Struthio camelus: one gene and its partners. The protein of the gene in region 1 purifies or fractionates together with the protein of each later gene. This does not show direct contact. Links are inferred from orthologs where the notes say so. Each region holds a gene or a part of one and is shown in the gene's direction. Other genes may lie near its edges.

Region 1 (9,889 bases):
TTCATATATACACTGGTTCATTTTCAGCACTGAAGCACAAAGCAGGCATCTTCCCCTGCCAAAATAGTGGGGAGAAAAGTATTAAAAAAAAAAAAAAAGACTGTTTGGTTAAAAGAATACAATATTATTCAAAACACTTTCCTCATTGCCTTTTTTTCCATTTAAAAAAACATGTTAACATTGTTTTGCTGGAAATGGAGATTTTTAAAATAGCTTCAAATAATGTTAATGAAGCATTGTTTTAATATTGCCTCTGGGAAAAACAAAGCAAAATACAGTTATAAACTGATCTCTACTTAAGAGCAACAGCCATCATATTGGTAATTTTTTCCCTTTAGCTGTGGCCTGACAACCTTCCCTTTTCCCTGCTTGCTTTCAACAGTATTATGTGAGCACAAGAGCACAACTAATTGAACTTCTGCTAAGTACTTGCCCATGATATGCATGATCTTCTCCTGTCACTTTTGCAGCAGCATGCCTTTCAAAGTTACGGCATATAAAAATAGGCAATGTCAAAATAAACGTATTGTATTAGCGATAGTTCTAGATGTGGACATATCTGACTGGGGCTTAAAGCTCAGGTCCGGAACGCTAATGGTCATTAAAGATATTTTTGCAAGTTTTCGTAAAGCAGGAATGTTACCTCTAATCACCTGGCCAATGTACAAAATTGAAAATTATGTTTAACATCATCTCCCTAATTTCCTCCTGCTATTTCACCCAGTTCTAGTATTCATTACTTCTTTTTTTCCATAAATTACTTTTATGTTTATTCTCTACTGTTATAGGTGACCTAGAAAGGAAAAAATAATTGGTTTGAAATCTGCTTTTCTTTATTTTAAATACAAATCCCTTTTTCCTATCCCTGTTCTTACAGCTCCCAGGCATATGAAGTCTTGATTCCTTTTTTGCTTGCTTGTTCCCTGAAAAGCTATGTGAAGGATGCGGAAGAATGGCTGGGAAATCTTTTCACCACTTAATTGAAGGTATAGGAAATGCTGCAACTCTCTTTTCTGGAAGTAATTATTGGGATAAATACTTTTAAATAAGGATAATCACTATTTTAAACAGTATCCAAATGTTTCCAGGTTCTCATATTTTCTCTCTTTAGTATTTTGATGTCATATGCTTGCTGAATCTTCACTAAAGTCTTCTAAGAAAAGAAGGATAGATAAAAATGCAGCTTCCCAGGGAAAGAAGTAAGCAAGAGAATAACCTAATCAGGCTGTCTTTATATATGACAAGAGAACATAAATTATTTTATTACTTTTTTACAAATCATCTTTTCAACAACTGCCATCTTCCTTTCCAGTGCTGGCTGCATTTCAGAGGTGGGTAAAGTACAGCATTGTATCATTTGTTAAACACCATGTTTCTTACCAAACTACTTAAACATAACATACAACAAAAAGCATCAGCATATACTTTACTGCGGCTTTCCAAAAGGTAACCCATCTCTACTAGTCATGCAGACACCTAAATAGATCATTTTGGTGCCCTCTGGATAGCTGCTGCTTAAAATATCTGAAGCACAAAAAAATACAGCCTTAGCACAGGTTTTTTCAATATTAGTAGCTTTTACGTGACTGACTATCCAGAGCTCATTCGGGTACAATAATTTTAAAAATCTAGTAAGTCCATAAAAGAGGTTATGACTCTGCTGGAAATAGACATAAAACCAAATGTCAGCTCTAAGAAAACTGATTTTCAACTCCCACATATCAAGGCTGCTCCTAGTGTTTTGACTCTTCTCATTCCTGCGTTTAGGATTGTCCCAAGCTGGCAGCGCTCCCTGTTTGTTTAGAAAAGTCCCTTCATGCAGCCTGCTCCTGAACTGTACCTCTGTCACATGCAATATTATTTGTCTCTCTGGTATCAAAAATATATGTACTTTTTAGAGAGATTTTTAAAAGGGAGAGGCCGTGCATTTTCACAGCGTAAGGAGGTGGTCAAAATAGTCAAAAGGCTACGAGATTGACCGCAGTATGACAGGGTCCCTCTCTTGATCTCCCTCAGGCTGCAGTCACTGTGGGGGTTTGGCATGTTAAGACATTAGCAGGCAGAGTCCCAGCCTACTTAAGCAGAAACCAAAAGGAGTGTGTCTACGTACTGCAGTGATCCCTTTCCCCTGCGGTTTCAATGGTCTTTCACATCATTTACCCACCACAGAGCAAAGATTTTTCAAAAGTGCTCACCCCAAGAAGTTCAGCCTTTCTCAGAACCTGCAAATGCACCACAGCAACAGCCTAACACTGACATCCAGTGGATAAAAACATGCATTTTCACTAGCCAACTTTATCCCATTTTCTGGACAGCAATGGTGACAGGCAAAGTGTGACAAAATAGCAAGAACTATTTTGTTCTTAAGTGTCTGGACTTTATGAGATCCAGAATCTAGCCCGGAAGCTGCAATCCCCTCCAATCCACTGGTGAACCTGGATGAGAACTTCTGAGCCTTCCATTATTATTTTTAGACAAATCAATACAATCCGCTCGCTTTCTGCAGTTCACATTTGTTCTGTAGAGTGAAACTATAGGCACAAAAGAGTGTGCTATCTTTTGCTGCACTGAATGAAAGTTGCTGGCTTCCTAGGCCTATGCAAAATAAATCTTCATAGCTTCACCCTGCTTTCCATGTACTGCCGTAAGCACAGCTGCAAAAACCCTGAGCAAAGCACATGAAGGAAAAAGTGGCAAAAGTATAGCAATGAGGGGAACAGGAATTTAAGCAGTGATTTGTTTTTATTCTTATTTTTACTTATGGCAAAGACAAGGTCAGTATCTTGGGCAAATCCTTCTCTTCCAGTGTGTGCAACCTATACTCACTGTATGCTAGTGATTTCTGCTTAGAAAGAAGAAAAGAAAGAAGATTTCTGCTTAGAAGTAAGAAAAATAGACATGGGAAGAGAAGACGGTCGCTTCCTGCTCAGTGAATAAATACTGAGGAATAAAGGAGACACCTATACACCCCTAATTTATACAACTATTTCATGTTGATTTATATGGTGCCTTTTGCATGCTGTAAAGCACTACAGTAGCAAGTATATATAGCCAGTATGAAGTCTGCTCCATCTTAAGGGACTTTTTCCATCACTGATCAATGAAAAAAATCCAACTACCATTCCTGAATGGGGAAGCCTTCAAAAGACTAAAGAGTGTTTACTGAGTTATATAGTCTAGGTTCACATGGATTTTGTCTGCTTGTTCCTCTAACGGGTCCTTTCGGTCATTCTATAGCTGAAATACATATACAAAAAATATTGGGGGGGGGCTTTATTGGGAGGGGGGGAGACAAAAAAAATGGAGCTGAAACGACTCTGTCTTTGCACTGTCACATCATCTCCCATTTCCAGCGTGCTTTTTCCATGACAGCAGTACATGTTGTTTTTTGCTGTGCTCACGGCTATTCCTCCTCGTGATGACTAACTCATGAAAGGCTCTACAGCTCTTCCAAGGCAGGCTGTGTTTCCACTGAACACCCAAAGGCCTACCCAGCAGCGTGACAGGGACATCCCTGCTCTATATTTCTCTGTTCAGCACCAAAATGCTATTTTCAGCTGCCCCAGAATTCTGTTGATCAGGCTGTAACAGAATTCTCCGGAGAAGAGCAAACAAAAACATTGCACTGGCATGCAGCCCTGGGTGAGGTCAGGATGTGACCATCATTAAGGTAACAGCAGCCTTCAGAAACACTGGAGAGTTAGAATAAGGAGAACGAGAATGAGTCATTCGGCACACACGTTTGGCACAAGCAAAGATGCCCTCTCGCTCGCTCTTCTCTAGCTTACACACCGTCCACACAGTTCCATGTATTCCTCTCAGCACTCTCCTCATATCCGTTCAGAGAGTTACAGGCTCCTTTGCCTACGCCCTTTTGCTCTGCCAGCGCTAAGCCCTTCTTTGTCCCTTGTGGGTCCTGCTCACGCATGGCCATGTTTTTCCTTCCGTTTCCCAGATCAAGCGGCACTGCTCCATGCCCGCTCTCCGTGCTTCCCCCAGCCCCGGGCTGCGGCTGCGTTGCACCTCACCCTTGCCTTGTACTGGTCCCCAGGCCAGCACCTGCCGTGGCCCCTCACTGCCCCGTCTCCGCAGCCCTACTTCTGCCTCAGCCCACTCACTGGATACCAAAGGCCAGCATTTATTTTTGATACTTAAATTTACAAATGATACCGTAGCCACCATAAAACCACTTTGCACAGGTTTTCAGGATTGCTATTCACAGCTTCTATCTGAAAACTATTAAAATTTTTAGTCTGTACAACCTGCAGAACAAAACAACTGTAGATACTCAGGACCGAGCTGTTTGGAGTGGCCTCATGGCCTAAAAGCCTCAGGCTTTGCTCCAAAGGAAACCACAGCCGGTTGTCAAAGCTTGAAGGGCAAAACACTGCTTTACGGGAGTTAATGGCCAGACTCCTATCAGCCCTAACAAAGTGCAGATTCCATCCTTAATTTTAAAACACATGATAGTTGGGTAATAAGGCGAACGCAGATTATTGACCCCTTCGAGGCCGCCTAAAACAGGCCTCGACAGCTCGAGGCAAACCCAGGGGAAACAAGAACCCCCGCAGTAAAGATATGGACCATAAAAGCACCCACAGCGGGTCCACCACGCTATGTTCTTGTATGTGTATGTGCAGATGTGCCCAGACACACAGACAAGGGACCCGGAGGGGGCGGGGGAGGGGGGGGGACCGAGGTGCCGCCATGTCACGCTGTGACTGACATCCCGCGCTTGGCCTCTCCCTCCCCCCCGCCGCCGCCGCCGCCAACGGGCGCTGCGGAGCCTCGCGGGCCCCCGCGGCGCCTTGTCACGTGCGCCCCTGCCCGGGCCACGTGGGGCAGGACACGCAGCGCAAACCCAACAACCGCCTGCGGCACCTCAGGCGGCCAGGCACCGCCTTCCCCTCCCCTCCCCTCCCCTCCCCGCCCCGCCCCGTGCCCTAGGAACGAGATTGACAGTAAAATCACCCAATCAAAGAACGACGGCGGCGACACCCGCCCCGTTGCTGCTTTATTTGGCGGGTGACACCAGGGGCCGCTGCCAGTTGGCTGCGGAGACGCCCGCCTGCCGCCAATGGCCTTGCGAGCCCCTCGAGTGACGTCTTCTCTGCCCAATAGAGTTGGCCGTTCCCAGGCGGGCGTTCCCCTAAGGGGAGGGGCAGGGGCAGAGGCGTAGAAGTCGTTGCGGACGGTGCAGAGTGTGGCGTTGTTTCCATTCCCCGGGGTGCCTCGCGTCTCCGGGTGGCGACAGCCGGGGCCATGTTCGTTACCGTGTGCGCCCGTCACTGTGTCCGGCCCTTGAGGCTGGCAGATGAAGTAGACACAGTTAAGGACAACTGACGTAGGCTCTCCTTCCGCCTCAGCGGAGGAGGAGGGCCCGCGGACGGCTGCGAAAAGGCCGCCAAGCGCCGCAGCTCGGTGGGCGGGAGTGCACGCTCGCTATGGTGTGACAGGCACATAAAAGTCACCAATGGTGTGCGAGGGTACAAGCTGCCACCCAATCCGCGCTGTGGGAGGGCGGGGCAAGTAGGGGCGGCCAAGTGGGTGCCCCATTTTAGGGGCAAATCTTACAGCCAACTGGCAGGAAGGAAGAAGGGGTAGGAGCCAGTGAGGGTTGCGAAGGGGCAATGCCAAGATATGACAGTCAGCAAATGTAACCAATGAGTGCGGGGGCAGTGACGAAGCAGCCCAGTCAGAGGAGCTGAGAGGCGGGGTCCCCCTTTGATAGACAAGTTCCGTGGCTAATGGGCGGAGAGATGGCAGGGGTTCTTCCCAATGGGCAGCGTGCAAGGGCGGAAAGGGGAGAGGAGAGAGAAGACGAGCAGGCGATGAGCCCAATCAGCGCGGGGGTCGGCGCGGCGCCGTCCAATAGGCGGCTCGAGGGGCGGTGCGGGGGAGTGTCTCGGTGTGTTTGGGTTCGTGCTCCTCGGGGGAGGGAGACGGCGGCGAGGAAAGTTTTTTTTTTTTTTTGGGGGGGGGGGAAGAAAGGGGGAGGGCCAGTTATCGCATCTTGTTCGCGTTTGTTTTCTGGGTTCGCGTTTCCCCGGCGGGCGGGCGGGAGGAGCCGCCTCCGGCACTGAGAAAAAGGGGGCTCAGCGCACCGCGGCGGCGCCTCCTCAGCGGTGAGTGCGGGACAAGCTCCCTCCTCCCTCTCCCCCTCCCCGCGCCCCGGAGGAACAGGCGGGTGGGCGAGCTGGCTCCGGGCCTCCCTCAGCGTTACCTCAGGGCCCTTCCCGCCCCTGGCGCCGCGCGGACCCTCGCGCTGCCTGAGAGGGGCCGTTGGCGCGGCCCGCGCGCCCCCTCCCCCCGCGCCGAGCTGCGGTGCCGCTGGGGGGGGGGGAGGGGGGTGGCTCGGCGGCGGCTCAAGGGCGCTGCTCCCCCGCCGCCGCGCGCCTGTCCCGGGGCAGAGCCGGGCTCGCGCCGCCCTCGCCGCCGCGGCTGCGCGCCCCTCCGCCCCCTCCGGTTTCCTCGGCGGGACGCGCGGGCGGCCCCGAGGCCGCTGCCTGGCGCCGCGGCGCGCAGCGCTGCGCTCCCGGTGGCCCGGTGGCCTCCCGCTGCCGAGCCCGCCTCCCTCCGGGCAAGAGCCTCCCGCCCAGAGCGAGCAAAACGTAAAACGGCGGAAGGACGCCGAGGAGCCTTTCTGTGGTTGGAGGAAAAAAGTGATTTTTGTGTCGTGTGGGGACAATCCTGAGGTTATGTCGATACCACTACAAACCACACTGGATGTGTCGAACACGATGCTAGTTAAAATGTGTGTATGTGGGTGGGAGGAGTGACCGTGCTTAGAGGTGTGTCCCAGGCACGCAAAAAAAAAAAAAAAAAGTTTCCTGAGCCGTTTGTAGGAAAATAAGCGAATATTTGTTTCAGGAGACGCTTCAGCAGCATTGGATAACACTGGTTCTAGCATGGCATCTTGCACACCCAAATTTTCTTTACAATGCTCCATGTAGCAGAATCTTAAATAGGACTTTTTTTTTTAAATACTAACAGGTTTCAACAAAATGTTTTTTTTTACCTAAAATAAGCATGGTTAAGTACAAGATACTTCATTTTTCTTAGTTTAATATTGAAGGTTTTTTACTGACACTAAGGACATCCATTTGTCTATCTGCATAGAGCTTGCAGAGTACCTTTAGAATTAACTAATATGTCCATAGTTATTATTTTTAGCCATGACTTATTAAGTTTCAATGACCCAGATTTTTGTCCCCTACAAAAACCGTGAATCTTAATTTTACTGAAAAGTAGTAGGTAGAACTTTGTGGTTTGTATAGCTCCATATTTGAAAGATCTGGTTTGCTTATTAGTCTCTAGCAAAATTGCTATTCAGGTAAATTGAATTTTTTAGTTTTTGGTGTAAGTGGTGTTGGGCAACAGCTTTAGTTCACAGAATTATTAAATAGGTACACAGATTCAACCAGCTTTGCAGTTAGTATGTCTACAGTGCAATTGCTCAACAATTCTGTCTTCTCTTACCGGAGTGGCTGTGATGAGACAAGATTTCTTGGGAAAGTGCCTGCTGTTGAGAATTGAGTAAATGCTCTGATCTGCTGTATTACCTGAGATCCTAATTTAAAAAAGAGGGTCAAGTTTTTCTACGTGATCTGTAGTTAGCGTAGTGACTGCGGTGTAGATTTGCCTTGGAGATTTGTTTAAAATGGGTGGCTTTTCACTTGTGTTTGGTAACTCAATTGCAGGTAAAACTAGTCAGTCCTGCAGTAAAGAAGTAGCTCTGCAAAAAGTTGAGGCTGGGGAAGGAGGAGTGGAACCCTCTTGAGGTAGCAAGCGTGTTAGCTTTCCTGCTGTAAAGTTCTGCGGGCAGCAAGATCTTATTTCATAGAAGCTAGGAGAGGTTAGCGTTATGCTCTTTCACCTTGCCCAGATATGTTGTACGTAAAAGTTCTATTTGTGAACATACAATTTTCTGTAAAACTATGTAAACATGTATAAAATTAGCTCCCAATTTTCTCTGCTAATTGGTAAAATTCTACTGTGCATACTTTTTTTTTTTGTGAACTTTCAATTCAACAGTTTCAGTTTCTTGGTAATGTTGTTATTGAGATGTTTAGTAAAGGGAACAACTTCAGTCCCATAAAGTAGAAAGAACAACTGCAACATTAGTTATAAAACAGTCTATGTATCCTGATTAAGTAGTCATATGTCTTGGTGTGTTACTGCAGTTTTTATATAGCTGTAAATTTGTCTAGAAATCTAAGTTTTCACTTATAAATGAGGTTTTGCTACATCAAATATTTTGAGAAAAAGTCTTGAAGGCGTGAATCAAAAGTATTGTCTACCTGAGTTTGTGCGATTGTGCATTCTCATGAACTCATTGAGGTAGAACGTGTGTCACAACTTTGCTTGGTGAGGTGTATTTGATCATTAAAACTTGAAATAGTATGTAGCTTACTGATGTTGGAGAACAACTTGAAGAGTAGAGAGCTTCAGGAGGAAATGATGCGTAGTTCTGAGACGCTATATTTTACCTTTGATTTTCTTCCTTTCATAGGAAATAGAAAAATGGAAATAATTTGTTGTGCAGATGCATAGTATGCATCATGTATACAGATAGTTGCATCCAAAATGATGGGATGAATTAGAGATCTGCCATACAATAAGTCATTTGAAAATATCTTTAAACAGTTTTTGTTATTTTAGGGTTTGATTTTTTTTTTTTCCTTCCCCCAGCAAAATTAGTGTTTCTGCTCACAGAAGAGTTTTAACAATTAAGCTGTATCAGCTGGAGATCATAAAATAAGCCTAAAACACAAGTCCTCTTCAAATTCTAAAAAAAAAAAAAAAAAAAAAAAAAGCTTAGTTACTGACTTGAATGAATTTATTAATAGTCTGCGTAATAGTTCAGTTACTTTATTCTGCGTTTTCTGCCGAACGCAAAGGTTTTTGTCCTAGTCACTTATTGCTATTATCATTTCTTCCCCCAACAATATCTTTTTATATATAGATACTATCTGGTTTGTGCAATAATAGTAATAATGATTAAGTGTCATTCTCTGCCTTCTTTGCCGTGACTTTTCTCAGTAATTGCTCTCTAGTGCTATTATGTTCACAAATTCCGCAGTGCATTCACAGTTCTTTTTTATTTTATTTTATTTTCCCACTTAACCTTTTTCTACCAGTAATTTCTGGATCAGTATATCTGTCATTGTGAAGAATTGGTGTTGTTTGTCTTCATCTGATAAATTAACCATATTTAATGCATAGTTAAGGGATGGATCTGATACCACCAAATGTATGTCAGGGTTTTTTTTAACATGGAAGTTTTCTGTCACCTCACTGCTTATAATGTGTGTGCCTGAATTATCTTTGGAATTGCCTTTAATGATTTTTATTGTGCTTTTGGAAATAACACTTGTGAAGTGTTGTATTATCTTGTGGAAAAAATAGTAAGATGCCAGTCATCAGTTATAATAGGAAGGACTTACCACAGATATGTGGAATTATCCACTAAGAACATACATTTCTAATGGTTTAACTAACAAAAAATGAGGTTACAATAGAATTAAGATTTTTGGATTCTTGCAGATAGTCTTCCTTAGCTTAATGTTTATTGCCTTTCTCTCTTTTCAGATAAAATACATATGCTAAGGTTTGCTCTTTCAGCACATAGCATGTGGAATAGGGACTGAGGCATCGTTATTAATTTGTTGTGAATCCAAACTAAACTTTTTGCTACCGTCTGCTAATAGAAGTAGGGGCACTTTTGGTACTTGACCAGCTGTCACTGTCAGACAAGGAATTGCCAGTTGGTATTTCTGCTTGCAAGTTGACTAGTGTAGTAGTAATCAGGATATTCTGATTTCTGTTCTGTGTAGTCTTCAGCATATAGAAAAGCGCTCTATCATACTTCTCTACATTTCTCCGCTTT
Region 2 (9,902 bases), on another chromosome or scaffold:
CAGCGAGGTTTGTCGCTGCCGGGGGCATGGGGCTCTGCGGGCCGACGGGACGCGGAGCGCGCAGCGAAACCCCCGCTGGCCTCGCGGCGCTTTGTCTCCCCGCGCGGACCCCGAGCCGCTCGGACGCCCGTGACTCAGGCTGAGCCCCCAGCCCTGCGTCACGGCCGAGCCCGGCCGCCCTCCGCCTCTGGCCCTGACGTCTTTGAGGTCTCCTTTCCAGGCTGCGGTGGGAACTCCCTGCTGACGGCTGACAGCCCCGTCAGCCCCGGGACTTCCCCGCAGCTCCGGGGCGGGCAGAGGCGATGCCGGCAGATGCTCTTTGCAAACGCTCGCTTGGGTGGGTGGCCCTGGGGCAGAGACCTGGCTCCAGCTGCCCGGGAAGCTGCGATGTTGCCGTGGTCGGGGGGAAGGACCTGCTGATGGTGGAGCTCCCTGGTGTGAGCTTAAAAAGGATCTAAATAGCTTTTATAGTGGTGGCACTGCAGCTGCAGGTGGGGTTTCGTACCGGGGCTGTCGTCTGCAGTTTCATCACGGCAACGAAAGTTCAGGATAGCGTAGTCCTTTATGGAAGCTAGAAGGTCTCAAGAGAAGGACAGAGGGAGAAGAGCATCAGCAAGTGGAAAGGGCAGCCCCGCTCTCCCCGGCTCTTGGGCAGGAGGAGCAAAGCAGGGGCAGAGCAGTCAAAACCCCCGTTCACACGTAGCGGCTGTGTGGCTCGGCGGTGTCAGCCCGCCGTCTCGCTGGAAATTCCAGTGAGGACCATGCAGAGCATGAAACCAAGATGTGGCCACCACCGTGGAAGTCCTTTTTGGTCTTTGCTCTCTTCTCTCACTGTCTGGGAGCTCGGGGACGGCTCGGGCCTGCTGTCAGCTGTGGGTGTTCGAAGGCCAGGAATGTCCCACGTCCCCTCCGTCCTCCTTATTGTAACTCGTGGGCCTGGCTCACCTCTGTCACTGCAGGTCGTGGGCAGCATGGATGCCCACCCCAGCCGGTACTGTGCCACGGTGCGCGTGCAGCGTCCTCGCCAGGAAATCATCGAGGACTTGTCCTACATGGTGAGGGAGCTTCTCATCCAGTTCTACAAATCCACTCGCTTCAAACCTACCAGGATCATCTTCTACCGCGACGGCGTTCCCGAGGGGCAGCTCCCGCAGGTGAGGAACCCCTGGGCGCCGTGCTGGGCCGGCAGAGCCGACCTGCCTCTGGCTAGAGGGAAGGGGCTTTAAGGCCTGGGTTTGCCTTGCTGGCATTTGTGCTGTTTGAGGTTGTTGGGTTTGCTGAAAGGCTTTGTGCACACTGGAGGCATTGGGCTAATTCTGCTGGCGGGAGCTGGGCCAAAGGCTTGCAACTCTGGGGGTGCTGGGCATCTGGGAGTCCACTCGGGATGTGCAGGGCAGCCTGCGGCCACCAAGCAGCTTGGGACAACGGGTGTTTTGCTCTCCTCTTTTTCCACTTGTGTTTGGGTATAGACCGTGCCGAGGCAGCTTTTCCAGGAGGGCTCGCAGGGGAGAGGATTAGGTCTCTTGCTCCTGCCACTGCCTAAACCTGCGTCGGCTCCTGCGGGTGCCCTACGGGTGCATGAGAGCAGCTGGGCGTGGGAGCCAGCCCGTGCGTTGCCTCACTCTGCGCGCGGTTGTGTCTCTAGATCCTTCACTATGAGCTCTTGGCAATCCGAGACGCCTGCATCAAACTGGAAAAGGATTACCAGCCTGGCATCACTTACATCGTTGTCCAGAAAAGGCATCACACCCGCCTCTTCTGCGCGGACAAGAACGAGCGGGTGAGCGCTGCGGAGCGCCGGGGGCCGGCGGTGTCCGATTCGTCGCTGGCATTAACGCAGAGCCAGCCCGGAGCTGCGCAGGGTGGAAAGCGCCCTGCTGGCAGGCAGAGCCCTCTTCCCTGCCTGAAACACGCTGCTAAGCTGACTCTTGCATCTGTGCCGATTAGGCTGCTTCAAGAAATCCAGGCAGCTGTTTGCTGTTGTTATGAGTTACTGGGTGCAGATGATCCTGGTGACTCTCTTGAAACGGCCTCTGTCAGCTTGAAAACATCTGTTGTTTTGGTGATTGCTGTAGCTGCTGACATTGGGGCAGGAGGAATAACCCCATGCTTGCTCACAGCTTGTTCACATCTTGTGCTGTGCAAGCAGAAGTCCAAAAAACAGGACTTGCGGTGGGCTGTTCTGCCTTGCAGGTGTATATGCTATTGAGGGCGTGAATCGAGCAATTGTGAGTTTGGGAGGAGAGTGTTACCTGTGCAACAAAAGCACCGAGTAACTCATTGATTGCTATAACTTTTCCTAGATTTGATCTAAATTTAATTTTGATCTAATCTGACCAGACTCTGCCTCTACCTGATCATGAGGATTTAACCTTGGGACTGAGAACAGGTTTTGATCTTGGCATAAGAGCCGTGATACCTTACGGCAGAAGCTCTAGCGTAAACTGTCTGCAGAGATCCCTGGACTTTTTGCCCACTTAATCGTCGTTCCTGCAGCAGGATGGGCCGGTGCCCAGCCTTCAGCCTGCCTGCTTCCCCTTAGCTGTAGGTTGCTCTGTTTGAGTGTCGTGCCTGGTGTTGATGCTGGCAGGAAATGCCAGCAAGCCTGTTTGGGCAGAGGGCAGAGCAGGGAGAGGTGCTTCTGCTCCCCACTTAATAGGCGCTTGTGGAACTGCTCGGCACGGTGCTCCCAAACTGGAAATAACCCAACACTGTGGTGCTTGGATCTCTTTTTATTCCCTGCAGATTGGGAAGAGTGGGAACATCCCAGCGGGAACAACAGTAGATACAAATATCACCCACCCTTTTGAGTTTGACTTCTACCTGTGCAGTCATGCAGGCATTCAGGTACCGTGCTCCAAGCTGATGTTGTGATCCTGCCGTTTTTCCTCTGTTGTGGTTGTGAGCTGCGTTCTCGCACGTGAGACGGGGCCCTTCCTGCCGCCTCCCTTGGGGAAGGCGAAGGCTGGCCCTGGAGACGTGGGCAGCTCTGTCCGAGCGGCCGTTGCAGCGCCTGGGGGAGCAGGTGCCAGGATGGCACAGCCGCTGCGGTACATGGCACCTACTTACTCTCCCTCCTGGAGCCGAGGATCTCTTGGAGAATTTCCTCCTTTGGAGAGGCCAAATCAGCAGCTTGTCAGCTGGCGTCTCGTGCTGGGCTCGCGGTGCTCCTGCTCGTCAGACGGGATCCGTGGTCTGGCTGCGGGTGGAGAGTTGGGGACAGCCGGCCGGAGCAGGCGGGTTGCTTTGCAGCTGCCTTCCTTCAGGCAGCCAAGATTAGTCAGAAGCTGCACTGAAAAAAATTGTGGCTTGAATCACTTGATTTATAGCTGCTTCCGCAAGGGAGGCTTTTTGGCTTCCTCTCTGCCTGCAAGGACAGCGCGGAGCTGGCCCGGTTCAGGGGGAGCCGCGGGGGAGCCCGGCTCGGTGCAGCAGGGAGGCGGTGCGCTGCGCCGGTCGGCAGGTCGCTGCTGCTCGCTCCCCGGGGCGTCTGGCAACGGGGCGGCTGGGCAGCTGCTTTAGCGCTGGTTTGCACCTCGGTGCAAAGTGCTTTTTCCTGTCTTGCGGTGCCCTTGGCTTAGGGAAGGGCAGGATAGAGCGTGGAAATGAGAGGCAGATGGATGGGGTGAACCGACCTCACCTCGGGGAGGGGGCGACGTCTCCTGCGGGCCCCTCTCCCGCACAGCGCTTGCGGCCGCCTCGTGTTTGGGCGCGGGCAGCACCTCCCACACCGCCCGCTCTCCTCCCCAGGGCACGAGCCGGCCGTCCCACTACTACGTCCTCTGGGATGACAACCGGTTCACCGCGGATGAGCTGCAGATCCTCACCTACCAGCTGTGCCATACCTACGTGCGCTGCACCCGCTCGGTCTCCATCCCAGCGCCGGCCTACTACGCTCGGCTGGTGGCGTTCAGGGCCCGCTACCACCTCGTGGACAAGGAGCACGACAGGTGAGCGGCCACGCGCGTCCCCGGAGCAGGGACCGCAGGGGTGACCAGCCAGTGAGCGGCACCCTGCTTCTGTGTCTGAACGCGGCTGGATGGGAGCAGCTTTGCTGCAGAGCCGTTCCTGGGGAGACTCGCGCGTAGCCATGTCCTCGTAGGGCTCAGCCCGGCAGGAGCGGGGATAAAGGGGGCTAATACCCCGTCCTGGGCTCGCCCAGGCCCTGCAGTGACCACCTCGGGGTGTTTGAGCGTTGCTAGCCTCCTCGGGATGCCGGCATCTCTGCCATGCTGGGCACGGTTCCCAGCGCACCTAGCATGCTGGTGCTCGGGGACAGCCGCGTGCCACCATCCTTCTCCCCAGCGGCGTCAATAAGCCAGGAAGAGGTGAGCGATCGCCAGGCCCCAGCGCCACAGCGTGGGGGTCTCGCATCCCCCACGGTGGCTGGTGGGCTGGGTCCGTTGGTCGGGAGCTGCCGTGAGGTGACTGTGGGGGCTCGCCTTGACCTTGGTGCAAGGCAGAGGTGCAGATGGCATCCAGCATCCTGGTCCCTGACCTGCGCGGGGATTTCCCAACGTTCCTACGGGGAAAGCCTTAAATAATTACGCAGTGATTTTCTTGCGCTTTCAGCGGCGAGGGCAGCCATATATCTGGACAGAGCAACGGCAGAGACCCCCAAGCCTTGGCGAAGGCTGTGCAGGTTCATCAGGACACTTTACGTACCATGTACTTTGCTTGAAAGCCTAACTTTTGTTACCTCACTCAAGAAAGCTTTCAGATTTGTAGGAGCCATACAAAAAAGGAAGCATTGGGACACCTTGTTTTTTTTCCAATGAGAAATCACTGCAGGGCAGGCAGCGTCGATTTGAGGCAGGAGACCAGCACCACGGGACAGAAAGATCCAACACCTTTGTAGGATTGGAAGAGACTGATTATTTTTTTAATTTTTCTGGCTTTGCAAAATTTTGACCTGACCAAACACGTGAAGGCATTTAAGGAAGGGATAAAACTTCCAGGAGGCAGAAGCAGGTTTTCATTTTTAAGATGCAATACTATAGACTCCTGACTGTGAAATGGCGGATTTGGTCCTCCGTTGCCCACCAGGCGCTGGTAGGTATTTTTTGTGGGGTTGGGGGGAGGGGATTTTTAGAGCCTTAAAACAGAAGACTAGATTTATAAAACTAATATTTTAGAATATGAGATGCTTTAATGGGTTAAGGGGAAAAACAACTAGTTTATAGGAGAATTCTAACACTAACAGTTCCCCCCCAAATAATTCCCCCCCATATAATGTAAGGCACCCTAGCACTTAGCTCAGAACTGAAAACTGTCTTCCTTGTGTTAAAAGCTAGTTAGCTGCTGCCATTCGAAGCAACAGTCACAGACTTTTCCATGGGTGAGTGCCTTACTATGATGCTGCAAAATTTCAATGTTTTTAATCTTGTAAGGAAAATAGTAACCTTGTCTTGATGGTGGTCCATATTTCCATCGGAAGGAGTTAATTTTTATGGTCCTAAGTTGCAGTTTGTGTTAGATCACAACCTCACGGTGGTTGAACTCCATTGAAAGATGTGCACTTTCATATAGGACAAGTTTAATGGCTGCTGACCCATTTTTGTTTCCAATGTACTACTTGTTATTTAAAACTGTTTCTGACAAATGGGGGCATCTTCACCCCATGAGGACAGAAATTGCTATCGATTATTTTTTTTCTGACTTTCTATGATGGACACCGGGATTTTTTTACTAAACATTATTTTTATATGATACTGAGTCTGTTGCCAAAATACACAAGTCATTAACATTCTCAGAGTTTACATCACTGCACTTCCTGAGGCTGTGCGCTCCCGCCAGAGATCTCTAACGTTTCCTGTCCGATGCGTGCGTTACAAACTGCAGTCCACGCAGCTTTGGGGTATTCCTCAATGCCCTCGTCTCCCATGCGTCATGTGCGTTCCTCACGTGTCCGTATGGGCTGACCGCTTTCTGAACTACCACGTACCCCGACTTCAGCATGTCCAAACTGTCATAGATTCTGCTGCTAGGTTTTGCTGCTCTTTTGTGTCATGGTATCACTGATTTCATGCACAGGGTTTTTATTCTGAAAGCACACCAGATTATTCCTTAGTCAGACTTACGAAATACTTGTTATTGTCCTGGGGGAAACTCCTACTAATTTTTGTTTGTAATGGGGAAAAAGCCTTTTTTTTCCAACAGTAAAACAGTGACTGTTTTTTGGACTCATTTTGCTGTACAGAATGACCATTCTGCACAGCAGGGCAGTAGTAGCAACTCCTTACCAATAGCGTGTGGGCAGATTATCTGATTTTTGTTGATATGAAAATGTGCACAAAGCTTCCTTCGAGAGAAAGAGTTACGTGTACACTGCTACTGAGCTCTTAAGGGGAAGAGCTCTGTTATCAATTTACTGCCAAAAGTGAACGCATTTTCAAAGCCTATCACAAGCACTGCCCTTTGTCAGCATGCATTGATAAAGCACGCCTTTTTATTTTGTCCTTTCTGATGTTTAAACTTGCCTTGCTAGTAGTTCATAAAAGCATTAGTCATGTTGACCCATTGCTCTGTCCTAATACCAAGAATTCAGTGTACTGGTTTTCTTTTGGGGCAACACGTTTGTGAAAAATGAAGACATCAATATGCTATGCAAACTAAGTGCTGAGCCCACTGATGTCACGTTTTGTGAAGATCCTACATTTAGCACAGTTGTATTTTTCTCAAGACTACAGTATTTGGCTCATGTTCTCCTTTGCACCTTGTGTCAAACTCCACTGCTGTATACCTACAAGGTGATGGGGAGAAAGCCAAGAACCATTCATGGTCAGTAGGGTAGTGAGCTCTTAAGGGGGCTTTTAGAGAGTAGGGAATGAGTGAACACTAAGTGTCAACATGAGACGCCTACATTCCTATACACAAGTGCCTGCATAGTGACACAAATTCAGCACCTCTCCCATTTCATCCTCAGAACTCTGGCTTGTGTTCATTGAAAGCGAAATGATCTCAGAGGGGCTATACCCACCCACCTTGTATTAGGAAGCCCCTCACTGAGAATAAAACTGGGGGGTTATGGTCAAGGTTCTCTCTGCAAATCAGTTTGTTCACCAGCATTATGACCGAAAGCACCTTGCTGCTCTTTGGCAGCTAAGGGCAAAGGTATTTTGATTTCTACTTTTTATTTTAACGTTTTAGTTGGGTCTAGAATTCTGAAATGTCTTTTAGTAGCTGTGGCATAGCACATGCCATTTTTAGCCATTTGAAAAGAGATAGCGTGGGCATTTACAGAAACAGCTTGTTGCTCTGTAACAATTTTTTTTTTAACCTTGAGACTTGAAATGTAAAATGGACCTTTAAGATTTGCACTCATTTGTAAGGTGGCTGTTCATAGAAAACTATGAATGAAGACTTGCTGATGTAGCACCTACTTTTAACAGCAATTTTAACTACACAAAAGCTTCATGGCTTCTGAAACTCTCAGCTGTTGACTTGCAGATCGTGTTCTGCCCTTACTTCACCCTCTGCATTGGGTTTTTCATGGTTTTAAAGAAATAAATAAGCCAAACTCAGCTGCTGTGCCCTTTAAACCATATTTCCATTTTGAAGAGGTTTTAGAAAGGGTTCGAGTTACCCGCATGTTTTGTATAATGGACTATGCACTGTACCTTCCACACGGCTCCAGCATTCAGTATTTCTACCCTTTTCTTGTCCAAGATGCAAATGAGTAATTGCATGTTGAGGTGCTGTGCGTTTTGCTACCCATAGCAGATAGGTGTTAACCTGTATACATATCACGATTTGTAATTAGCCACAAACCCCACACAGTCATCCTGAATGGCTCCCGAGTCTCTACCTTCTAAATGCGCACGTGTCCGTTGTGCAACTGGAAAAACTGCCGAGTGCATGCAGATTTGTGGGAAGAGGAATAACTTTCATTTATCTGTCAATTGTTGAATGCTGTTTGTTTCCCTTATCTCATATCTGAACATAACAGGGTGCATGAGGGCAGAACAGCCCTCAGGAGAGCTTAGTGGGAAGGCAGTCGGAGTGTTCTGGTATTTGCAAGCGTATGACCTGATGTCTAGGATCGAAAAGCCCAAGCATTCAGCGTTGCCTCATGGAAGGTTTTCTTCTTGGAAAATTAGCGTGAAATAAAAGAATGTGATTCTTTCAGGAAGGGAAGCCAGACTGCAGGACAGCAATAAACAAGTGAAATTCATATCTTGCCTGAGTGATTTGCACTTCAATAGTTGTGAAAGAAAACTGATGGGGATTCCAGTGCTTTTGTGTTCGATTTCTAGCCCCTTTCGTACCTCCTTTATACAAGCAAGTGTTGAACTGTACATAGAGTGTTTACAAGACACTCTGTTTGGGTTGTTATTTTTCTTGTGTTTTTTTTTTTTTTTGCTTTAGCTTGAACTCTGTATGGTCCATTTGTTAAATAGACGTGAACAGTTGATGTACAGTACTTACTAAACAAGCAGCAGCACAAAACTTATTTTATTAAGAAAATATGGCTTATATTTTAAAGGTTGAATATCAATTTTTTTGTATGCGTGGAATTAAGACTGGTAAAGAGTAACAAAATCCTTGGATTAGGCCAAAAGAAAATACTGTAAGAGCATAACCACCTCTTTATTAAAGAAAATGGTATGATTAAAGAGCTCCAGAACATTGTATTTATATTTGATTTGATTGGCTTTGTGGATTATTTTTTTCTTTGCCTTGGTCCTGATTTTTGCTTGCAACTTTGACTTTGCAGTCCGAAGTGTCTGTTACCCTGTAACTGTTGGCAGAAGACCTAAATAAAAGCAATGTGAATATGTTGGGGTGACACTCCTGAGTCAGATTCCATGGGGAAGAAAAAGCATACATTCCCAGTTCTGGCAGTTTACTCAAGAAGGGCTTGAGAACAAATAGTGAAATGCTGACTGTAGCTGAATTGCATCAAATACTGTGAGGATCCAAACTCCTCTGTTTCCAGCCCATTTCAATTTAATGAGAGAAAAACTTCAGTGAACAAGCATGCACTTAAAACTTTTTGGAACGTGATAGCCAGTTCCATTTTTTTATTTTAATATCATCTATCTGAGAACTGACTTCAGTTGAACTCCTGGTTATTAGCTGTCATAAGTGTATGTCAAAGTACGCTGCCTCTCCAGCTACTTGGCTTTGGCGCCTTAGTGTCATGGACTTCAGTGGTTTTGAGACAGGTAATACATAGGCGAAAATGTTCTCTGGATCTGGCATGAATCAAATTCAAAATCAAATTTAAAATTGTTATTTACATTTTACCCATATCTTTGTTCCCTGTGCAGATGGTTCCCTGGTATCTGTAAAGTTGCGTGTGTTTAGATATGTCTGCACACCTGAGTTCACTTATTTGCAGAATTCAGTAGCTGGGTCTACAGAGAGCCCCACTCTTACCCATGCAAGATCATTTCAGCCTTTTCTGTTGGAACAAGTTTATGGATAGACATTTCCAATTGCCCATACAGGTCTGCTCTGAACCTGCAGGTTGCATGGCTCATTATTTTCTAACCCTGTGGATTACAAAAGGCCATTGGCTCCAAGGTACTTTAAGGACAGATTTCAGATTCCTTTTGGGTTGAACTTGATCCTCTGGGTTTCTGTGCTGCTTAATAATTTACGTGTCCCAGCTCTGGAATACCTTGCAAACTTCCTAGTCCTCTCCGGCCCCATATCAATAGCTTATCATCTTACGGTCCAAAGATGGAGGTGGCTTGCCAACCGTTCGGAATTCTTTGGATTTGCTTGTGGTTTACTTTGCACACATGTATTGACATATCTTTAAAAGTTTGAATTATTTAGCAGTTGAGCTGTAACTGTGGGTTTTTGAATAATGCTAAGCAATTTTAAGGAAGCACTTGTTAATGGCATGCACATACTTGCTAGCTAATTTACTTCAACTGTAGCATGAGGAATGT
Region 3 (10,099 bases), on another chromosome or scaffold:
TTTTACTTAGAAAAATCTCTTCCTCTGAATCTGACAAAATATATTAAAAAAGGGATGCATGTTATAGAGAGGTGAACTCCATTAATAAGCAATCACTTAAATACAGCCTACATATAAGCCTACTAAATTTCACAGATTTCAACAATTATAGCAAAATAACTTGAATTCAAAATCCACTTGTTTCCTATCATGCAATACATAATTGACCCAAACTGATGCTATAGGTTTTTAGACTTAAAAAAGCTAAAGACCATTCACAAATAATTAGTAACAGCCCCTAAAATAAAAATAAAAATACAGTAACTAAATAAGTGCATATCATGTTGCCCTTGGTAGATTAAGCAAATCAAAAAAAGAAAGAAAATAAGCAATTAAGATATTCACATCCCATTTATCTTTTTGAACCTCAAGAACTGGTTTTCTGATGTTTTCAGATATCTGTCTGCCCGCATTCTTAGCGGCCAAAAGGGCAGTTTGGATTCATACAGGTGCAACAAAAACACGCAACTTTCAGAAGGTCAAAGATCATGTAGTCTCAACTTTCACTATTGAAGACAATCACCTCCAGGCACGATTTACAGAAATATTACAGACCTCTGTCATCAAGAGATGCTCTCTCCTTGTTGAGGTGACCTGGAGAGCCTGTTTCACAGCTGCCCTGTCCACTGTCAGAATCACTATCAGTGGTTTTCTGCAAGTCTGATTTCAAATCTTCTAAGTGAAACTACAAAGCAAAGTAAAATCATCCTTAATATGGTAAGTGTTGTTTATGTAGTAATGACTCATGCAGTTTAACTTAGTCCAAGACCTTGGCTAACTCTTTACATAGGAATATATGCACACATATTATTAAGAATTAATTCACCTTTACACGGAGGGGAATTATGCAACATCAACCTTTATTGGCTTTTAAATATGTTTAATGTGAGCTTGCACAAGGAAAAAAAAGAACATACTGGAAGATCTCTACTGACATTACTCAAAATTACTAGAATGAAGTAATTGATGAGAAACTTTGAAATTTCATCTCCGAAAGCGGCATTTTACACAGTGCAGGGGGAGGGACCAGACGCTTGTGGGTGCTCTCTAGAAAGCAGCCCTGAGACGAGGCGCGGGGGCCGCGCACGGCGACGCAGGCCGGAGGGAGAAGGGTGCTGGCCCCGCACACGCGGGCCCCGCGACGCTTCGCTCAGGGCCGGCCCCGCTCCGTGCCGGCCCCGGCCGCCCGGGGCCCGCAGCCGCCGGGGCCGGCCCTCACCGGCCGCCCCCGGTGACGGCGGTGCCGCCTAGGCCGCAGCGCCTCTCCCAGCACGCACCGCGCCCGGAACGGGCACCAGCCTTCCCAGCATGCACCGCACCCGCCCCCCGACAGGGCAACCAACTTCCCAGCATGCACCGCCCGCGCTAAGTGGAATGAGCCTCCGCAGGGCACGCTGGGAAGCGTAGTCCGTCCGAGGTACGGGGGAGGCGAGTCCGGCGAAGGCGCGAAGCCGCCGGCGCGCTCCGGTAATCGAGAGGACACTGCCGCCTCACTCGCTGCCCGTCCCCGCCGGCCTCCCCGCCGCGACCAGAGGAGCACCAAGCCCACGGGAAGGCAGCGGGCCGCCGCTGGCCGGCCGCACAGAGCAGCGGAACTCACCTCACCAGGAGCCGCCGCCATAGCTCAGCCCGAGCGCCCACCCCGGCACCCGCGGCCCGGCGCCACACAAACCCTCCGGCCGCCCAGCCGGGTAGGAAACCGCTTCGAGTCTTCGCGCGCTGCCCAAGGCCCGCCCCGCCTCTGGGGCCAACCAATCGGCACTTAGAGCTGCCCTGACAGCCCCGCCCCCTGCGAGCTTTATTGGACGATTTCCCGCGAAGTCCCGCCTCCCCTCGCCTCGCCCAATCGTGGCTCTCCCTTCAAGGCTTTGCACGCCCTATAAGCCCGCCATTGGGCAGCCCCCTCCCCCTGCTGTCAGAACCTTGGAGTGACTCGTTGGCCGCGGGGTGGTTGGAGGGGTGCGCTGCCAGCCGCTCTGGCCGCCGTGGCGGTGCGAGGTGCCCTGACGGTGGCGGCGGGCCGGGCCGTGGGCCCGGAGCGAGAGGGCCTTGCCGGGCCGCGGGGGTGGCGTGGCGAGCCCGCTGCGGGGGCAGAGCCGCGTCGGCGTGGGCCTGCCCCCGCGCGTCCGGCGGCGGTTAGGAGTGGGGGTGTACCGGCCTTCCCGCTGCCGGGCGGGTGAGTACGGATAAGCGCTCGCACCGGAGCGCCGGAGCATCCCGCGAAGTGCAAACAGGAACCTGCTGTCCGCCCATGAAGGCAAACCCGGGAGGGGAAGGGGGAAAAAAGTATATACTCTGAAGTAGTTGTTATCCATCGCAGTGCTGCGGGGGATGCTGAACAGATGGGCTAATCTGCTATGATAGTTCCCATCTAGCCCACACATCCTAGAATGGAGAAGTGAGAAAAGCAAACGCCCCTGAGGCTTACTGCAGGCGTCACAACGCAATGCTGGTTTCTGTGGCGGTATTTAGTAACGGGAGAGGCAGCTGCTGGCACTGCAAAAACATCATTAATGAATATGGTTAAGATACCGTCTCTCAGGTAACCTGCCTAAGTAGATGTAAAAGTAGATGTAAAAGATGTAAAAGAGAAAGGAAATAAAATGAATGTAGATGTTTTCAGCATAAGGGTGGGAGAACTTTCAGAAATAAGGTCCTGACCACTTTGGCTGTCAGGATGCCGCAACTTATACTTATTTATCAGGTTAATTGCTTTTCTGCTTTTTTTTTTTAAGCTTTTCATGCGTTAAATACAGGCTTCTTTTGTCATATTCAGCATCTTACAGGACCAAGCCTTTGTACTGCAGATTCCATGAGGCAGAGATTGTGTATTTGTTTTTTAAGTACTGTTTAAATAGCACTATGCACACATATGTATGCTGAATAATAGCATAGAAATGTTGCTGGCCAGCATGGGTTTTTTTTTTTTTTACAAGTCTTGTAACGCTGGTGTTTCCCTCAAATATTCAGCTAGTGTCAGGCAGTTATGAGACCTGCAGATTTGATTTTCTTTTAAAAGGTTTTTGATGCTTCTACTTGTAGAGAAGGTCTTGAAAAAATAAATGTTGCAGGTTTAAAAAAAAGCAAATAAAATGGACACAGCATTTATTATTTACAGAATGTTTTGACTTCTGACCTACTTGTGAGTCAGCTGAGAATTGTTGACTTAACAGAACTCAATGGTAGCAAGAGAAAAGTGGGATGTGCAAGGAAGCCGTTCACTAAAATAGCAAAGCTTCTTAAAAGGCAAAGCATCAGTAACCCCTGGGCTGAAAAAGCAGAGACAAACTGTGTTAAACTGCAGGTAACAAAATCAAAACTACTGGGTTGCACTGCATGTCTAGGAGCATCTCAGCAAGCAGAGCGCTGGCAGGACCCTTGATTTTAGGTTCCTGCACGCTGTGTCCTCCGCGACCTAAACATCTGAAATCCAGCGTCCGTCAGCCCCTTTCTCTCCCAAGGCGTATCCTCAGCCTTATGAGATCCCTCCTGCGGCTATGCAAGACAGAGGGTCTAGCGGTTGCTTCTGCAGCAAGGGCTCTACTTTAAGGGCCTCTCCCTGGCTGTTAATTAAAACTAATAATAAAATAAAGCCTACCAAAGTTATTGTCTGTGAGCCCACCCCGTTGCCAGTGCTGGTTGAAACCAGCCCGTGGGATCTTCCCTGATGGAAGGGGGAAGAGAGGTTGACCAAAACAAGCCCAAAAATGGGTGTACGGTGTGAGTCCTGAAAGGTGCACCAAGAGTTTAATAACCAAACTAGCTGGCTTAATAACCAAACCAGCTAATTCCCTACCACAGTACTTTTTCAGAAGGTGCCTGAGTGACATCCCATGGTTATTATTGATCTCTGCGTCAGCTGTTAGCTGCTGGGTAGACACCGATCATTAGCCCTGGCAAACAAGCCTATCGCACTTACTACACATTTTTCGCCCACAAAATTTGTTAGTGGAAGTGTTGGCCCTGCTTACAGCCCTGAAGGGCATTAAAATTTGCAGCCGTTCACGGTGACTTTTACACGTTATTTTTTTCAGGTATTTTAACCAGAATTACTGCTGTTTCGCTGGTGTAGGAAGTTATACCGGGTGTAATTAAGTTAGGCGAGTTCCCCGTTTCGGGGGTGGGGGACGGGAAGAGCGGAGGAAGTCGTTACCGCGGGCTGTGGGGTTTAGGCGCTGTATTTTGCAATGGAAGATAAACGCAGAGTTTGAGAGACGCAGTGTCACTATTTCCAAGCTTCGGGTGGTCGGAGGGCTAATTCTTCAACCTGTGAAATTCTGGAAGGAGAGGAGAGAGAGAGGGAAAAAAGGAAGTTCTCTAATAAAAGGACCTGAGTAAATACACCCGTGCAGTCAGTAAAGGAGCTTTACTGCGCAGAGATGCCAAAAAGGGGAGGGGGGGGCTGAGTTCCACCTCCGAGGGCAGAGTGCGGGGGAAAACCTGCTGATTTCTGACAAAATGCCCCCAAATACACGGGGTGGGGGCCGGGGGCGGCGCTGCTGTCATGGCGGGGGCGGCCCCGTCAGGGCGGCGCTGTCATGGCGGGGGCGGCCCCGTCAGGGCGGCGCTGCGAGGGCGCCGCCCCCCCCGCGCGCGGGAAGCGGCCGCCGGCGCCGCCCCTCACCTGTTGCCGCGCCGGCGTCGAAGGGGTGCGGGCGTGCGCGCCCCCGGCGCCAGGGGGCGGAGCGCGTGCGCGCGCGTGCCCGCGGCGCCGGCCAGCGTGGAGGCGCCTCTTCGTCCTCCTTCTCCTCCGGCGGCTCCTGCTCGCTCGCGTGCGCGCGCGCGCGCGCGGGGAAGGGGGGGGTGGCGCGCGGCGGCGGCGGCGGCGCGCGCGGGCTCGGCGGCAGCGCAGCGCAGCGGGGGGATTGTTTGCGCCGCCGCTCGGCCGAGCGCAGCGCGGTAGACCGCTCCCCGCCGCCGCCGCGTCCCGTTCCGCCACCCCCCCCCCTCACCCCGCAGCCAATATTCCCGAGATCAAGCGTTACGCGGCGGCGGCGGGGCCGGCGGCGGGGCCCGGGGCGGTCGTCGGGGCCGGCGGGGACCGCAGCGAGGCCGCCGCCGCCATGGAAGCGCTGGGACCCGGTGAGAGCCGCGGGCGGGCCGGGCCGGGCCGGGCCGAGGGCGGGCGCGGCCTGGCGGGGCGCGGGCGCCGCCGGCCCTGTCAGGCGCGAAGGGCGGCGGGGCCGGGCCGGGCGCAGCGCGGAGGAGGCCGCGGCCCGGCGGGAGCTGCCGCAGCCGGCGCGGCCTGGGCGCGGAGCGGGGCCGCGCTGCAGGCCGGCTCTGACCCGCCGCTCGGCCCGGCCCGGCCCGGCTCCCCCCGCCGGAGAGGAACTTGGCCGCGAAACTTGGCGGGCGGGTCGCAAACAGCAGAAGTTTGGTGTTGGGGCTGCCGGGCGCCTTCCCCTCGCCAGGGCAGATAGGGCATTGCCGTAAGCGCAGCTGCGGGGCTCTAGGCGTGGAAGTGACTTGGAATCGCGATGGCACGGAGGTGTGACAGCACGCGTGGGCTTCCGACCCTGCCCGCCAGCGCGCTTGCGGCAGGTCTTTTCCTAGTGACGAGTTGTAGTGTTTGGCGTGAGTCTGTTTTGTTTTTAAGGGCTTACGGTTGATACTTTCTGGAAGGGTGAGCGCTGATTTTTCAAACAGTCTGCCGTTCAATATTGGCCTTATTACGCATGTGGCGTTTTCCTAATTCTATCTTATTCTGTGGCTCTTCTTCCATAAAATGTCTGCGAGATGTATTTCTTGACCAAAGCGGTCCAGTGTATGTTATCTACCATATCTGTGATCAAACCCTTGGTGTAATCGAAGTAGTGTTAATTTCGGTGCAATAGGAAAGTTTACTGACATGAAGATGCAATTCCAGACAAACGTCAGAAGAAGATTTTAAGGTAGTTAGTGGGGGGATTGCTTTCAGCGTCTAGCATACTGATGTATGGTGTGGTAGGTACTCTCTGACTTCTAAAGTAGGAGTAGATCCTCTTTTAGTTTTGTAAAACTACTTCCTGTCTGAAGCAACTTGGTTGAGGGTAAGCTGTACATGATCAACACATGGTAGAAGAAATCAAGAGTAACAGCTTATTTAACCCTGCCTGGGCTGATTAGGCCAGAATCATGATAAAATCGGTGTGACTTGCAGGGAAGCCTGGCTTCAAATGAGAAAGCAGCTTTTAGCTTATTCTGTTTAAAGTTACTTCTTAAAAGATTTCAGGGAAGATGATGTAACTTTGATCTCCTTTTGTCAAAACTGGCCTAGGTCAGTGTTGCCACGGCTGTTTACAAAACTTGTCAATACTGAAGAAGGAAAATGGGTAAATATAGTTGTCATTTAATCTCTTGCAGGAGGTCAGTGCCTGCACTACTTCAGACTAATTAGCACGGGATTAATGGATCATCTCTCTAGTATCCAAATAAGCACAGCAAACTTTGATTGCCCTTGATGATTCATGCTTGTTGGGATAGCTGTAGTTTTTTTGTTTTAAGTGCTAACTGTACCTCACAGCCTGTTTAACTCTGGCATTAGGAACTTCTCATTGACTGACTGCAATTGTTCATATGGATGCAGAGCCGATGGTGTGTCGAGTTAGAGGTCTGCGGTGAGAGCCACGGTGCTTACTGCAGCTTCAGAGAACTGATGCATCCAGTGGGCTGCATCTGCTTACATACTCTTAAAAGTATTCTAGCGTTTGTCTCCTCAAATCTTACTTTTAATTGATAATGCTAGTAGCCATTAGATGGCCTGCAGAACCAACACAGAAAAAGCTCTAAAGCTCCCTGGATTTGCAGTCTTGGGTTTAGTTTAGGATTATTTTAAGTTTCTTGCTGCACGTTGAAGTTTATCCAAACATGAGCCTCTCTCCTCTTTTCTCCTCTGGAGCTATGAGCCTCTGATTTAAATGGATACTGCCAGGTTGACACAACCTCATGATACTAAGTTGGGCCCTAAGTTTTAATGTTGCTTTAATATTGCATTCTTACATTCCATTATTTTTTTCTTCCTCCTCTTTGCTACTCCAGCAAGTGTCACTGGCAAGAAGAAACTGTCTGTAGAATGGAGGGAAGAAACTTTTGTTATACCAAGTGCTGGCACATACAGACAAAAAAAATGAAAATATACTAATTCAAATTGCTTTATGTGCAGTGTCAAATGAGGCTGTAATAGATTTTTTTTCCTAAAAGTCTGTTTAATCTTGTCAACATGGTATCTCAGTCTAACACTTTGAAGAAATTAACTAAAGATTAGAGTGACTAGCTTGCATCTGAGTACTTTCTTAAGCCTCTAATAATTTCTTCCATATAAATAAGCGCAGCTTCTTCTGAAGCTGTTACTTTTGTCCAAATATATTACCTTCTCCTCCACATCTATTAAGAGACTATACCTGTCCTTATGCTTGTTCCTTACTGTTCTTTTTAGAAGAATGCCTAAACTTTTTCTCATTCTTTGTGTTAGAACTTGAAATTTGCCAAAATTGTGTTCCAGTTGAAAAGTATTTCACTGTTAACAGCAGTGATGTGTTCATGATATAAAGGATATGACAAAATTGTTTTTGTCTATATGGAAATATGTTTTTAATTTAGTTTAGAATAAATATATCCTTTCCTCCATTTCCAGATTGCATCAATTTTCAGAGAAAATTGGGAGTTTATTTCCTGAATGTAGCAAGGGTGACTTGCTACATCATTAACTTTTGAACTTTAAATCTATAATGAAAAAGTGTGGCTGTTCTTACCATAAATGGTAATAGGAATCTATATATAAATATTTATATTCCTACTGCCATACGAGATATATATATATATAGAAAGAGAGAGAGAGATAGGAAAATAGACTATGTAAATAACTGTATTCCATCTTGGGAGTTCTGTCAAGTTCCTAAACTACAGTCATAAACAAACATCACTACAATTTTGAGAACGAAATGTAGCATTAACGTATATATGCTTTAGGGAATACATTGTTGTTTTGTACCTGGAAGAGTAGAGCTGTTGAAAAGCCATAAGCTGCTTGGAACACTTTCATTTGCAACCTTGGAAAACTATGTAAGATTTTTCTGCCCTGTCAGAAAGCCTTCCCAACTATAGTACACCTGAAAGGATACTGCAGTGAATGATAAGGTATATCTCATACATATTTATTTGGCTTTCATAGGGCCTCCGGCAAGCCTTTTCCAGCCACCCCGTCGCCCTGGCCTGGGAACTGTTGGGAAACCCATCCGCCTCTTAGCCAATCATTTTCAGGTTCAGATCCCTAAGATTGATGTTTATCACTATGATGTAGATATCAAACCAGAAAAGCGCCCCCGAAGAGTGAACAGGTATGAATCATTTAATACAAAAAGTTTAGATTCCTCAGTTTAAGGCAACTGTACACCCTAGAAATTTTTCATCTGCTAAAGAACAGTGTATATATGTTCTGTGCTTAGGAGTTGCCTTATCTTTCCAAGAGGTATATTATCCTCCTCCTTATTTTTATTAAGATTTTTGCAATTGGATTGCCATATAGAAGGCACTCAGAAATGTATTATAAAGAAGAATCTTGCCTTAAACTAAAGCTATTTTTATTCTCTAGTCTACAAGTGAATATCCCTGCAATCCATTACACAAAGATGTCTGTTAGCAGCTGAGGGGAGGAATTCGGCTTAGAGATTGACACCAACGTTTTTAGGTGTCCATACATGGTTATTTTGTCAGTGTAGTCAATTTAATCTGTAGAACACCCCAGCTAACCCGAAGATAGATGCTTGTATTTGCTCCTATATTTGTACAGCTCTCCGCGTTCCACTGTCTGTATTCACTACATCTCTGCTGACGGTAATGGGAGCTTAGACACCTGCATATGTGTTGAAACGTAGGCGTCCTAATCTGGAGGGCGCTCTTATTCTTGGTGTCTGCTAAAAACTTGGGTATAGTCTAGTGCCTTGTTGTTTCAGATACTCAGCTCCTTTAAGAAAACATGAATGCGGAATTTTAAATTGGTGTAAGATCATTACTGAATTTTGCTAGGCTCCAACCTAACTGAATACCTCCCTCTGTAGAGAAGTGGTGGATACTATGGTGCGACACTTCAAAATGCAGATATTTGGTGATCGGCAGCCTGGATACGATGGGAAAAGGAACATGTATACCGCGCACCCGTTACCTATTGGCCGGGATAGAGTAAGTGTTATGAGCAGTACTAAGTTTTTTATTGAAAAAATGTTAGTGCAGTTTGAAAAGTGATCATAAAGCTAAGATGCTGTTACATGTATTAGTGTAGCTTTGGAAATTACAGGCAGTGCCAGGGAGGGTTCCCTCAGAAATAAGGTGCTCTGCTGAAGTTTGTCATCTTCAGGTTTCTAATTCCCAGGTCTTTTGTCAATGCGCTTGTCTGTGATAGCGTGAACTATTACATTGCGGTTTTTCATCTGCAAGGAAATTTTTACACCCTGGTGCAAACTTACTTTTTCTCTGTTATAACACTTTTTCTGTTGCTAAATGATAAAGTAGTTGTAGTTGACAAATACGGTGTTCTGGTTTGGCTGCACTGTAGAGATATGTCCTCATGTTCCACAAGAACTTACGACACAAGTGCTGTCAACAGCCAAATCAGCTGCATTAGCCCTTAATGTGCTGGGCCATACTCCCCAGCATGTTCTGACATGTTCTACTCGTGTTCTGACAGATTGAAATATGTATTAAAAGGTCCTGATACAAAATGTAAATAACCCCCATTTACTCTTCTCCCCAGGGATCTGGTTATTGCTGGTACAGTGCCATGAGGAGTACATAGGATGAGTTCACATTTACCCTTTGGGTTAATGGTGTGTGAGAATAATTTTAAGTACTGTGCTAAAACTCTGAAATTTGCGTTTCCCAATGATTGTCCCTTTTGACCGAAAGGGGTTTCTTGCCCTCCTGTTAAGGACATAGAACATCATCTTGCTATCAACTGGCTGACGTTTTAAAAAAAAAAAAAAAAGACTCTCAGTTCTCCAGAGCTTTGATGTTATCATACTAATAATTACTGCTTAAAATTTACACGTAAAGGTACCTCAGTGCAGTTTCCTCAGATGAATAAATT

The links.
Region 2: the proteins of TNRC6B (region 1) and AGO3 purify together in Homo sapiens (affinity purification with mass spectrometry; 6 studies listed by BioGRID and IntAct, with this or other methods). This does not show direct contact. The link is inferred for Struthio camelus from reciprocal best matches to the Homo sapiens genes TNRC6B and AGO3.
Region 3: the proteins of TNRC6B (region 1) and AGO4 purify together in Homo sapiens (co-immunoprecipitation; 3 studies listed by BioGRID and IntAct, with this or other methods). This does not show direct contact. The link is inferred for Struthio camelus from reciprocal best matches to the Homo sapiens genes TNRC6B and AGO4.

What each region holds. Positions count from the first base shown.
Region 1 is NC_090942.1:57,496,735-57,506,623, reverse strand, and holds the start of TNRC6B (trinucleotide repeat-containing gene 6B protein), read left to right. Parts: upstream 1-5,892; 5' UTR 5,893-6,125; intron 6,126-9,889.
Region 2 is NC_090964.1:10,064,282-10,074,183, forward strand, and holds the start of AGO3 (protein argonaute-3), read left to right. Parts: upstream 1-4,962; 5' UTR 4,963-5,015; coding exon 5,016-5,052; exon of another isoform or gene 5,053-8,777; intron 8,778-9,902. Other genes in the region: AGO1 (protein argonaute-1), read left to right, coding at 960-1,154, 1,646-1,780, 2,746-2,847, 3,751-3,950, 4,573-4,681.
Region 3 is NC_090964.1:10,024,181-10,034,279, forward strand, and holds the start of AGO4 (protein argonaute-4), read left to right. Parts: upstream 1-5,397; 5' UTR 5,398-5,516; coding exon 5,517-5,613; intron 5,614-8,188; coding exon 8,189-8,354; intron 8,355-9,074; coding exon 9,075-9,195; intron 9,196-9,766; exon of another isoform or gene 9,767-9,809; coding exon of another isoform or gene 9,810-9,839; intron 9,840-10,099. Other genes in the region: CLSPN (claspin), read right to left, coding at 1-30, 595-724, 1,640-1,660.